Arabidopsis thaliana: one gene and its partner. The protein of the gene in region 1 interacts with the protein of each later gene in a pairwise test. Each region holds a gene or a part of one and is shown in the gene's direction. Other genes may lie near its edges.

The links. The genes of interacting proteins can lie anywhere in the genome.
Region 2: the proteins of AT3G52640 (region 1) and KCS20 interact in a protein complementation assay, tested with the Arabidopsis thaliana proteins (one large-scale study listed by BioGRID).

Annotation. Positions count from the first base shown.
Region 1 is NC_003074.8:19,517,491-19,523,456, reverse strand, and holds the start of AT3G52640 (Zn-dependent exopeptidases superfamily protein), read left to right. Parts: upstream 1-2,912; 5' UTR 2,913-3,039; intron 3,040-3,114; 5' UTR 3,115-3,166; coding exon 3,167-3,251; intron 3,252-3,341; coding exon 3,342-3,455; intron 3,456-3,539; coding exon 3,540-3,654; intron 3,655-4,215; coding exon 4,216-4,298; intron 4,299-4,446; coding exon 4,447-4,523; intron 4,524-4,924; coding exon 4,925-5,002; intron 5,003-5,620; coding exon 5,621-5,692; intron 5,693-5,794; coding exon 5,795-5,868; intron 5,869-5,966. Other genes in the region: AT3G52660 (RNA-binding (RRM/RBD/RNP motifs) family protein), read right to left, coding at 92-232, 306-422, 500-859. UniProt on the Arabidopsis thaliana protein: Probable subunit of the gamma-secretase complex, an endoprotease complex that catalyzes the intramembrane cleavage of integral membrane proteins such as Notch.
Region 2 is NC_003076.8:17,582,513-17,588,478, forward strand, and holds the start of KCS20 (3-ketoacyl-CoA synthase 20), read left to right. Parts: upstream 1-3,010; 5' UTR 3,011-3,390; coding exon 3,391-4,176; intron 4,177-5,170; coding exon 5,171-5,966. Other genes in the region: AT5G43755 (non-LTR retrolelement reverse transcriptase-like protein), read right to left, coding at 465-715, 815-1,048, 1,215-1,260. UniProt on the Arabidopsis thaliana protein: Mediates the synthesis of VLCFAs from 22 to 26 carbons in length (e.g. C22, C24, C26). Functionally redundant with KCS2 in the two-carbon elongation of C22 fatty acids that is required for cuticular wax and root suberin biosynthesis.

The DNA of each region.
Region 1 (5,966 bases):
TACAAATTACACATGAACTTGAGATGAAAGTTACAGAAATAACTTAATAGACACTATAGGCTGAAACTTATCCAAGTTGCAGGAGACAAACCTTTGGGAGTTCGACAATTTGAACGCCTGGACCAATTCTATTTGCTGCTTTCTTAATGTCTGACTCCATCCAATTTCTAGGGACATTACCAAGAAAGAGACGATGCTTTGCTTGGGTAGTCGAACATTTTATCCTTTTACCCTATTGAATTACATCAAGTAAATAAACAAATAAGAGCCAGACAATTTACTAAGAATCAGGTCAAAGAACTTACTCTGAAGTCAGTGTTATTTAGAGTATCAATTGCTTCAGCAGCTAAGTCCTTACTTCTGAATGTTACAAATGCATACCCCTTTCCATCACCAGAATCCTTTTCCCTCATTATCCTAACCTGTTGATATCACACCAAACTCAGCACAAGATAAATTAAATCACAACCATAGTTTAGGTAAGAAGATGTCAAATTACCTCAGTAACTTCTCCTATAGATCCACAGAAGCCCTTTAAGTCCCCTTCAGTAGCATCAGTAGGAATCCCTCCAAGATAAACCTCTGAACCATGTGGAGGAAGTGCAAGAAGTTCAACATGCCTTTTCTTTTCTTCTTCCTCTTCCGTTGCAACAGCATCCTCCTCCTCCTCCTCTTCTTCCACTTCAACCTCCTCCTCTATCTCCTCTTCTATCTCTTCAATCTCCTCCTCTTCAACTTCTTCGTATTCAACTTCCTCCTCCAGAATCTCCTCAGGATCATTGTCACCATCAAGGTCTACCCTTTCCTCAGATTCCATGGAGTCATGAGCCTCAGAAGCAGCAGTCCTCGTCCTTGACATCTTAAATATCTAGAAAAGAATGCTTGCAGTACAACTGTGGAGGAGACACAGAAGCAAGAAGCAAGTGGGGAGAGAGAATAAAACCGAGGAAAGGTTGGAAAAGAAACAATAAGAGGCCAATAGAAAAGAAGAATAAGAAGTTCGAATTGACGCTTTGCCATAATGCGGCTAAAAAGGTGACAAACAAATAGACAAAGAGAGAAGAGGGCGATGAAATGCTCAACAGGTGAAACAAAAAAAGATAAGAAACGAAATGACCCCTGAGAGCGGATAAAAACCATGATATCATAGGCCTTGGTTAGATGCAAAGAAGGTTAAAATATTCATGGCAACAAGAAAGATAAGAAGGGCTAAAGTCAAAATAGTATCTTTGCTTAGAAAACTCCAGCTCCATGTTAGAATCTCCCACAACAGACATTGTTCAGAATTTGCAAGTGATATTTTTTATGCTGCCAATCTAACCTGTTAAGAGAATCCTCAGCTTATAACTACAATTCTATTTGATTATTTCACACAAATTGACCACAATGATAGATACAACCAAGAACAACCCAATACACATACAAAGCTATAACTCAGAGAAATGTCAATCAAAGGCGTGTTTAAGCTAACTTAGCAATCATTGGAACAAAAATGAGAGAAAGATTCAGTTTTTAATTAAGATAAGAAGAGTTACACAAATCCCAATTTTGGATCCCCAACCAAAAAAAAAGATTCACGAAAGGAAACGAAGAGAGGCGCAATGAGATGAAAGAAGAAAGAGCGAGAAAGTACCTGAGAGAGCTGCCGGAAGAAAACCCTAATTTTGAGAATTACGGAGAGGATGAAGAAGTGTCTATCTTCGCGCACCTCAGGTGTTGAAAAATATGTATATGTGTATGTTGTATTGATATGACCTAAAAGATGCCTAAGCGAGACTATCAAGGAGGTGTAGTCACTTTTTATTATGATGCGACCAATCTTATATTACGGCTTATTACCGATCTTAATATACGACAAATTTGATTTTTATGCAAAAAAAACTTTCAAGTTGGATGAGAATTTGCGCCTTATATTTTTTTTACACATTGTTTTCAAAATTAACACTAGTTTTTTCTTAATTAACATGCAGTTTATACATGATCTACGTTATTTGTTAAAATCACATATGGAATAATTTCTTTAAAATTATAGTTTTACCATATACAATATGTTTTTTTTTTTATCAATTTTTAGCCAAAACTTGCCTATATAATCTAGCAAATAATACCCTAATCAATCATAATTAGTCTACGATTTTGTAAAAATGAAGCCATAAAATGTAATACAAATTTCTTACAAAAAAAAAAAGAAAATGTGGAATGAAAATATTTTTTCTTTTTGTATAAACAACTAGATTATAACCCGCGGTACACCGCGGAGACAATTATTTTTTAAAATTAGTATATATAAAAGTCTGTAAATTATATTTATCTATAAAATATTTATATTTTATAGTTTACAATTGTTATTAAGTAACATCCTTCCAAACCCGTTCTGCCAAACCCGTCCCGTTAAAAAAATTTGTAGTACACCGCTAATTTAAAAAAAAAAATTACGGGATTGCAATTATATTTTAGTTTGTCAAACAAATTTTTGTTTTAAATAGTTGTCGAAATCTAATTCAAATTTTGGAGAAATAAGATTTAGTGAACTGATAAGAAATGTATTTATGTGCGTTTTGCTCATTTTAAGGGATTGCAATTGTATTTTGGTTTGTCAAATATTTTTTGTTTTAAATAATTTCCGAAATCTAGTTCAAATTTTGGAGAAATCTGCGTGATATATGGGATTGGAATATATTTGGAATATTTTTTGTTTGTTAATCAATTTATTGCTAAAAGAAAATAAATAAATAAAAGCCAGTGGCAGCCATTGTAAATAAGTTCCAAATCTAGGATTTATTTTACAAAATGGCTGCAAAAATATATATATAGATAGGTTCACTTAATTACTTTTAATATAATAAAATCCGCACAAAATGTGAATACCTCAATTTTTCTATATCTTGGGAATTTTGAAAGACATAAGAATCAACACGAAAAATCTCAGTCTTTGACTCAGACTCCCACCGCGTAATTCCGAGCTAGGTTTCCATTTCTCCGGCGAATCGGACCTCTCTCTCGCTCTCTCTTCCAATTTCCCCTTTTTTCGTTTCCCAGGTACTGCTTCTTCCGATTCTAACATTTTTTGATCTTTTATAAAATCGGTCACATTATTCTTGATCGTATCTGCAGCGATGATTTGCAAGTAGCTTCCGCTAATAATCGCAACTCTCTGACGGATGCTATGGCAATGGGACTTATTCGTCTTCTTTCTATAGCTTTTACACTTGTTCTACTTTCAATCCTTCCTCTTCATCTCTCTCTCGCTGGTGAGTTTCCTTTCCCCGGATAAAATTGGTGATGAAATGTATTAGTTGATAGAACATTGTAATCTGAAATTGAGGTTTCGTTTTGTGTAGATGAGATAACATCTATTGAATCTGTACCTGACCTTCAGAAGCTAATGTATGTTGCTGTTGATGGGTTTCCTTGTGTACGTCTTCTCAATCTGTCTGGAGAGATTGGATGTTCAAGTAAGCTTCTTTTGGGCCTCTCAGCTACATGATTTTTATCTGTTGATGAGGTCCTCTAAGTTTTATGTTTATAAAAATACTCAGATCCTGGAATAAATAAAGTGGTGGCTCCAATCATAAAATTAAAGGACGTTAAAGATTTGGTTCAGCCACACACTATTTTGGTTACAGCTGATGAAATGGAAGATTTCTTTACCAGGCATGTCTCCTTTTTCATTTACAAAACTTTCATGACCTCTATTCGATTTTGTTAGTGATCTCTTAATTTGTGGAGTAGTGCTTTCCCACTCGCTTGTAGTTCTCATTTTGGTGTTTTATTTAACGTCAAACAAGATTTAGCTTTTGGGTGCCAAATCAGCCTTTTTGGAAAGGCAATTACATCCTTAAGAATAACGTATATCTAAGAGTTTGTTTTCATTAGTACTTGAGTATTTAAGGCAAACACTTTTAGTAATCTTCCATGACAGTGAAACAACAGATTGGAATGAGTATACCCTCTTATCACCATTTTTGAAATCTGCTAGAAATGTAGTCACTTGGTTGTTGGTGCATGGATTAGGTGTTTAGTGGAACCAGTAATTCATTGGCTTTTTCCGCTTTATTTTCATTCGACTAACGGAAAGTAGGTATACCTCCAAACACTTTACTGTAGAACCCTGCAGTCTGGCTTACTTCTGGCATTGTTCATTAGACTTGTACATCGCTTAGACACTCTATTCAGTAGAAATAACAGGACCACTCCTCTTTGTGCCTTTTCCAGGGTGTCAACTGATTTGAGCTTTGCTAGCAAAATTGGTGGTGTTCTAGTTGAATCAGGATCTAATTTCCAACAAAAGTTAAAAGGTACTATGTCCATCCACATATTTATGATTCTGTCAACTTGAATGGCTAATTCCTTAAATTGTCTTGAGTTCTTAATTCCCTTAAAAATAGTACTTGATACTTCTTATCTATGTTGATGGCGTTAGTGTTTCTTTCTTCTTTATTGTAGGGTTTTCTCCTGATAAAAGGTTTCCTCAAGCCCAGTTTTCACCCTATGAAAACGTTGAGTACAAATGGAATTCAGCTGTACGGTAGCGTAAACTCTGTCTGGATCTTTGAAATTACTTCTTCCTGTCAACTCTTTTATAGTGGGTTGGAAATTGTTTCAATCAGTTATCACCAAATCCATAGTCAAGCATTTCCGAGTTATATGCTGTTTTCTTCTGGAACTAAACTTAACTACCTGCTAACACACAAATACCATAAATCCTTTTCTTATGGTATAATTTTACTGGAGGAATGCATGTATCTGCCTAGATGATCACTTATAAAGAAGTTCAAAAATCTGTTGCATATTTATCTACCTTAATTAAAAGATAGTTCCTCTTATTGTTATCTACGGAGAAAAAATGATTTTGATTCTTATGAGTAGTTGCAGGCGATAAGTCTCTAGCCATTGACCATTGCTAAAAAATGATTATTTGCAGGCATCAAGCATCATGTGGAGAAATTATAATTTTCCTGTGTACTTATTGTCAGAAAGTGGCATATCAGCTGTGCATGAGGTAATCCTTCAAACTTGCATTCTTTTGCAAATTTTAAATGTGTCTATTTGTGTTGTCAGAAAAGCGAAATTGATGACATTTTTAGAAATATGAGGAAATGAACTCAAGGCTTAGAGAGGCATTATGACTGTTGGTCACTCTTAAGAGCAGTATTGCTTGATGAAAATATGGCTGTAAAATGATGCATGAGATATGTATCTCCAAGGTCATATGAAATGAATACTCCTAGTTTAAACTGAATTAGTCTGCAGAAATTTTTCTAAGCATTGATTACCCATTTTAAATAAGAATACAAATTTGGTCCTGGAATGTTTGTCTCATCCAGCTGAAGGCAACTCCCAGCTGCATCTGTAGATTTCAAATGCATGTTGCTTTCCATAGCCTGTAATTGGACTCAACCATAGCCTTTCCATTTGTCTTGTGGTAGTTGCCTTTAAACTGCTGGTCAACTATGTCATTCTATAGTATGTTGTTGTCCTTACCAGATGAGGTTCTGTCAAGAAGCTAGCTTTATGTTTCTGTTGTGTTGGTAGCAATCTAAAGTGTATAGTTTATGTGGATAGCTTCACTTTTTTCAGGTTATCGACTACATATTTACATCCTATTATATTTGCGCAGATCCTTTCCAAGAAAAAGATGAAGCATGGAACATATACCAGTGATGTTGCTGAATTCAATATGGTTATGGAGGTATATGGCTTTAGCAATCTTGCTCACTGGAACGTTAACCAGCTTTATGGATCTTCACTTTGACTTAGATTATGACACCCAATTCTCTATTTTTTGTATTAGACTACCAAAGCTGGAACACACAATTCGGAGGCTTGTTTGCAGGAGGGAACTTGCCTCCCATTGGGCGGATATAGGTAAAGATTTAGGTCTTTATTACTGTCTGATCTAATGACATATGAAAACCTTTTAAAGGATACGTTTCGTTTTCTAACAACTTTGTTATGAAGGACAG
Region 2 (5,966 bases), on another chromosome or scaffold:
CAACTACGAAAAAAAATTCAAACTGGTTTTGTTTATTTAAGATTTAAGAATGACTTGAAAAGGTAGAATTTGTAAAACCAATGAAGAAGAAAGAATTGTGGAGTGGTAGAGAATGGTTTCTTCAAACTTCTAAGAATAATTGTTGAACGTAATTGCTTCGTTTGGTAGGAATTTTCTTAGCAATTAGAATCAGTTCTATGTTATATAACAAACATATATTTTTGCATTACTTACCACACAAACTCTCCCCAAATTGTGTGTTGACACATACCAAATGATGATATAAATACAAAACTTATCACGCACGCGTTAAAGATTCACACGCATGTTATTGACTTGTGAAAATCTCACAAGTAGTTAGTACACATGAAACGATAGTTTAGTTTTGGGTTATGAACTTATGATATGAGTTAATGGCATCATTTTTTTTTTTTTTTTTTTAACACGAACTTCATTTTTATTACTTAGGAAACGTAGTCTGAAAACAGAGCATTTGAGATACACAATGGGATAAAGCTATGAACTATGTATGAAGACAGAGCATGTTTCTGGTTTTTCGCTAAAATATCAGCAGGTTGATTTGTTGATCTGTGTGACCACGTGAACTTGATTGCGTCAAACTTATTTCTCCAAACTTTGATTTCATGGATCCAATTGATAGCATCAAATCTTGAGCCTCTTCCATTCAGAACATTGACTAGGAGCTTGCAGTCGCCTTCAAGTATTACTTTTCTAAAGCCTCTTATCCATAATTGTTGCATGGTAAGAATTAGGCTTTGACATTCTGCTTCAAAGGCTGAGGAAACGGTCGCACCTGTCGCTTGAGCAGCCCCTTTGAACACGCCGTTATCATCTCTAATTATCCAAGCTGCCGTAGAGCCACGAACTCGATTCACAAAGCTGCCATCGTAATTACACTTAATCCATCCCATATGTGGTTTTTGCCACTGACTCTGAAACTGCCTAGTTGTGCCATTAGTCGTACTCGGAGTGGGAACTTGCGCACATAAGCCATTTGTGATCCATTCTTCCGCTTCATTTGTAGCATCTCTGATATCTCTCCACCAATCGTTCTGTTTTCGTTGGAACACTAGCTTATTACGGCTTTTCCATATTCTCCAAAGGATCGAGATAGGTAGCTGCCCTTGCATTGTATGTTGTCCTGCATTTTTATGAAATTCATAAATCTCTTTAATTTTTGTTTCATAATGCACCTGGGGATTTGATAGACTCGGAAGGGGAATGTTCGAAGCTCTCCATATTTGGCGAGCGTGTGGACACGTAAAGAACAAATGATCCGTAGTTTCTCTCGTTATGACACATCTACGACAAAAACTATCTGTGACGATTCTTCGGCTTTCAAGTTCAGAGTTGGTAGAATGGCATCATTTCTTATTTTCTTGATAATGACACAAAGTTTTCTTGTCTACAACATCATTTTAAGAAAATTAAACGTTTTTCACCAAAGCCGCGGGAATAAAATCATGAAGAATGGTTAGAACGTGGTATTTAAAGATGAGACCAGACCAAAGCAAGTCAATACAAAGTCAAATAGAACTCGATCGGAAACGATTATCAAATTTTGGATTTCTTTTTTTGGGGCAAATTTTGGTGTTTTGAACTGTATTTTTAATTGTTTGTTATGATTTCATATACAAATTAGTTTTAGATAGAATAATGAAAATATTTAAGTGAATACTATGTTGTAAAGTGTAAATAATAGACTTTTATAAGCCTTTTAACGAAAAAAGAATGTAAAAAATAAAATATAGACTTTTGTTTATGAAATTACAACCTCTTTGATAATGATATAACATATGTGAAAATGCAATGTTTTTCTTGATTCGTTTGGTCAAAAAGGAAAAATCAAGTGTGAATTAGTTTCTGATGAGGTTCAATAGTTTTTTTTGTATTATCTTAAAATTTATTCACAATAAATATAGTAGTAGGCGATAAAGAAAGTGCAATGTTTTTCCTTTGACTACATTTAAGTTATAGATTATTTTATGATGAGCAAAATCCTCAATCTTATATCTAATTGGTTTTTCTGAAAATATCCACCACAACTCAAACTTCTTCTTTGTTTGCAGCTGCAATGTCAACCGGTATTAATATAGAAGAGTGACAGAGAATGTATGATTCTCTATCTGCAAAATGGTTTTGAATTGGGACTGTGCCGGTCGATGATTCCGCTCATCATCTAGTCGCGGGTTTTGAAATGGGACTCTTTATAATTGATATCCAACTGTATAAAAATCTTGAACATCCTTAATTTGAAACATAAAAAATATGACATTAACTATCTGATTAATTTTCACTTAAGGGATGGTTAGTTAAGTTACATTGGATTAAAAATGGTATTAGTAGACCAATTAGAACATGTATGCCATTTTTTGTTTACAAAAACCTTTTTAAGTGGTATTTATAAGACTTGCTCAATTTCATTCAAAAGAACATGAAATGGATGGACTAGTTTTAATGGCAATAACCCACACAATTACTCATATTTGGTTCAACAAACTTCTATTTCGGTTCACTTATTAATTTTCCATCTATATATGAATCATATAATATGATTAATTTACACAAGTTCACACGGCCACGTAAAATGTAACTGTCTTCAAGTTGTGCACATAAAGAGGGTAGTTTCGAAGATAACGGGTCAACGAAAGGGTAAAAGAGTAAATTGCATAGAACGCGGCCAAATTAAAAGCCCCCAATTGGGATAAAAGTCATCGCCGTCTCTTAGGTGTCAAATCTCAACTGTCTAAAAACATTAAAAGCTTCGTTGGGGTAGTTGCATCTTCCCTCTCTAATACAAAACTTATTTTATCCAGTTTTAGTTTCGATTTTTCATTTGTTAACATGTTTTCATTTTTCTTTTAATGTTAATAGCCTTTTTATTTGGAAAATGAAAACAATTTCACAATTTAATTCTAAATTACCATTTCTAAAAAATAGAAATAATATAAATAATAATATTGAATAATACATGGACTAAAAAATTATAGTACTGTCCTAAACAAAATTGCTTGACTAGATTGAACAGAAAATGTTTTTGATGTCTTACTAGTTTGAACAATTTATTTGCTAACATTATTCTCTTTGTATATTTCTTAAAAACCCATATTTTTTCCTTAAATATTTCCCATTTCCCCTAACTACATTCAATAGCTAAGTCTCTCTCTCCCTCTCTCTTTCTCTCTCACTCAAAAATTTCCCATTAAATTCTCAAATTTTCTCCAACTTTTTAGGCCATTCTCTTTTCTCCTCTCTCTCTCTCTCACACAACACAAACAACTCTTGAGAGAGAGAAACAAATCTTTCACTTGACACTTCTCTCCAAATCCTCATCTCATTCTTCATCCTAAACATTTGCTCATTCTCACGATGAGCCATAACCAAAACCAACCTCACCGGCCAGTCCCGGTCCATGTCACAAACGCCGAGCCAAACCCTAACCCAAACAACCTCCCAAACTTTCTATTATCCGTCCGTCTCAAATACGTAAAACTCGGTTACCACTACCTAATCTCCAACGCTCTCTACATCCTCCTCCTTCCTCTCCTCGCCGCAACAATCGCTAACCTCTCTTCTTTCACCATCAACGACCTCTCTCTCCTCTACAACACACTCCGTTTCCATTTCCTCTCCGCCACACTCGCCACCGCACTCTTAATCTCTCTCTCCACCGCTTACTTCACCACCCGTCCCCGCCGTGTCTTCCTCCTCGACTTCTCGTGTTACAAACCAGACCCTTCACTGATCTGCACTCGTGAAACATTCATGGACAGATCTCAACGTGTAGGCATCTTCACAGAAGACAACTTAGCTTTCCAACAAAAGATCCTCGAAAGATCCGGTCTAGGTCAGAAAACTTACTTCCCTGAAGCTCTTCTTCGTGTTCCTCCTAATCCTTGTATGGAAGAAGCGAGAAAAGAGGCAGAAACAGTTATGTTCGGAGCTATTGACGCGGTTCTTGAGAAGACCGGTGTGAAACCTAAAGATATTGGAATCCTTGTGGTGAATTGTAGCTTGTTTAATCCAACACCGTCACTTTCTGCTATGATTGTGAATAAGTATAAGCTTAGAGGCAACATTTTGAGCTATAATCTTGGTGGAATGGGATGTAGTGCTGGCCTTATCTCCATTGATCTCGCTAAACAGATGCTTCAGGTAAAATATCTTATTATTCGGTTTGGTTTAATCCGGTTTGGTCTTTTAGACTGTTATGAGTCGTCGTGATTCGTGGAAGAATAAAATCTAGGACTTTTTCTTATTCGACTTTAAAAATTTGAAAGGGCTAATGACAGCTCATGATTTTAGAAATTATTTAGGGGAATTCAATAGAACTACCAGCTAGAATTTGCCTTTCAAAATTTAATTATTTGCGTCTTGGTGTCACTTAATAAAGCATTTAGTACACTTACCAGCTAGATTTTTTGATTAATTGACTTAGCTTTCATGTCATTAATACGTGCTATAATATTTCTATGACTTATTTGATCAAAATGTAGTCACTGGATTGGTTTTTAGTTGCCGACTTAATATGGATGCAACTTTATTCTATATGAGTTGTATGAAAGCATAAAGGCCAAATTTACGTGTAAAAGTCACGTGTCTATGAAAATTCTGACAGTGACAGGCTTTGTAGTCTTTAGGTTGGTGGTAGTTGTGAAAATGGAAAAACCATAATGTTGTTTTAAATGATCAATGTTTTATTTTATAAAGGTTGATTACATATTTTTTCCTTTCTCGAAAGTATTCATTTATTACGAAAATAGTTCATGCATTAGGAATTTAGGATTGATGCATAATTACAAATTTACATTCACTTTTACAAACATAATTAAATTGTAGATCTAAGAAGCGAACGTGGAAACACGTGCTTGCAAGTTTCTCGAATCTCTAATGTGGTTGGCAAATTGAACCAAAGGTCATAAATGTGCTACAACATAATGTTGGGCTACTTGAATAGAATTTACTTACACTTGAGACATATGCACACACATACCTCTGCATTTATATATTTGTGTTTAATGTCCACCGTATAACGGTTGTCTAGTCACAACCATTGTTCGAATTTTCTAAGATTCGAAAATGTTTTTATTTTTATTTATTGTATACATATTTTACTGAGAGTAATAATAAATTTGTGACAATAATGCAGGTGCAACCAAACTCATACGCACTAGTGGTGAGCACAGAGAACATAACCCTAAACTGGTACTTAGGCAACGACCGATCAATGCTTCTATCTAACTGTATCTTCCGTATGGGCGGAGCCGCGGTACTTCTCTCGAACCGCTCCTCTGATCGCAGCCGTTCAAAATATCAGCTCATCCATACCGTCCGTACCCACAAAGGAGCTGATGACAACGCATTTGGCTGTGTTTACCAACGAGAAGACAACAACGCAGAAGAAACCGGCAAAATCGGAGTGTCCCTCTCTAAAAACCTAATGGCGATAGCTGGAGAAGCTCTCAAGACAAACATCACAACTCTCGGACCACTAGTTCTACCAATGTCCGAACAACTTCTCTTTTTCGCGACTCTTGTGGCCCGAAAAGTCTTCAAAGTCAAGAAAATAAAGCCTTACATTCCTGATTTCAAGCTAGCTTTCGAGCATTTCTGTATCCACGCGGGAGGTAGAGCCGTGCTCGACGAGATTGAGAAGAACTTGGATTTATCCGAATGGCACATGGAGCCATCGAGGATGACGTTGAACCGGTTTGGTAACACTTCGAGTAGCTCACTTTGGTATGAGCTTGCGTATAGTGAAGCTAAAGGAAGGATTAAGAGAGGAGATAGGACTTGGCAGATTGCTTTTGGATCGGGTTTTAAGTGTAATAGTGCAGTTTGGAAAGCTTTGAGAACGATTGATCCAATGGACGAGAAGACTAATCCATGGATTGATGAGATTGATGACTTTCCTGTTCAAGTTCCTAGGATCACTCCCATTACAT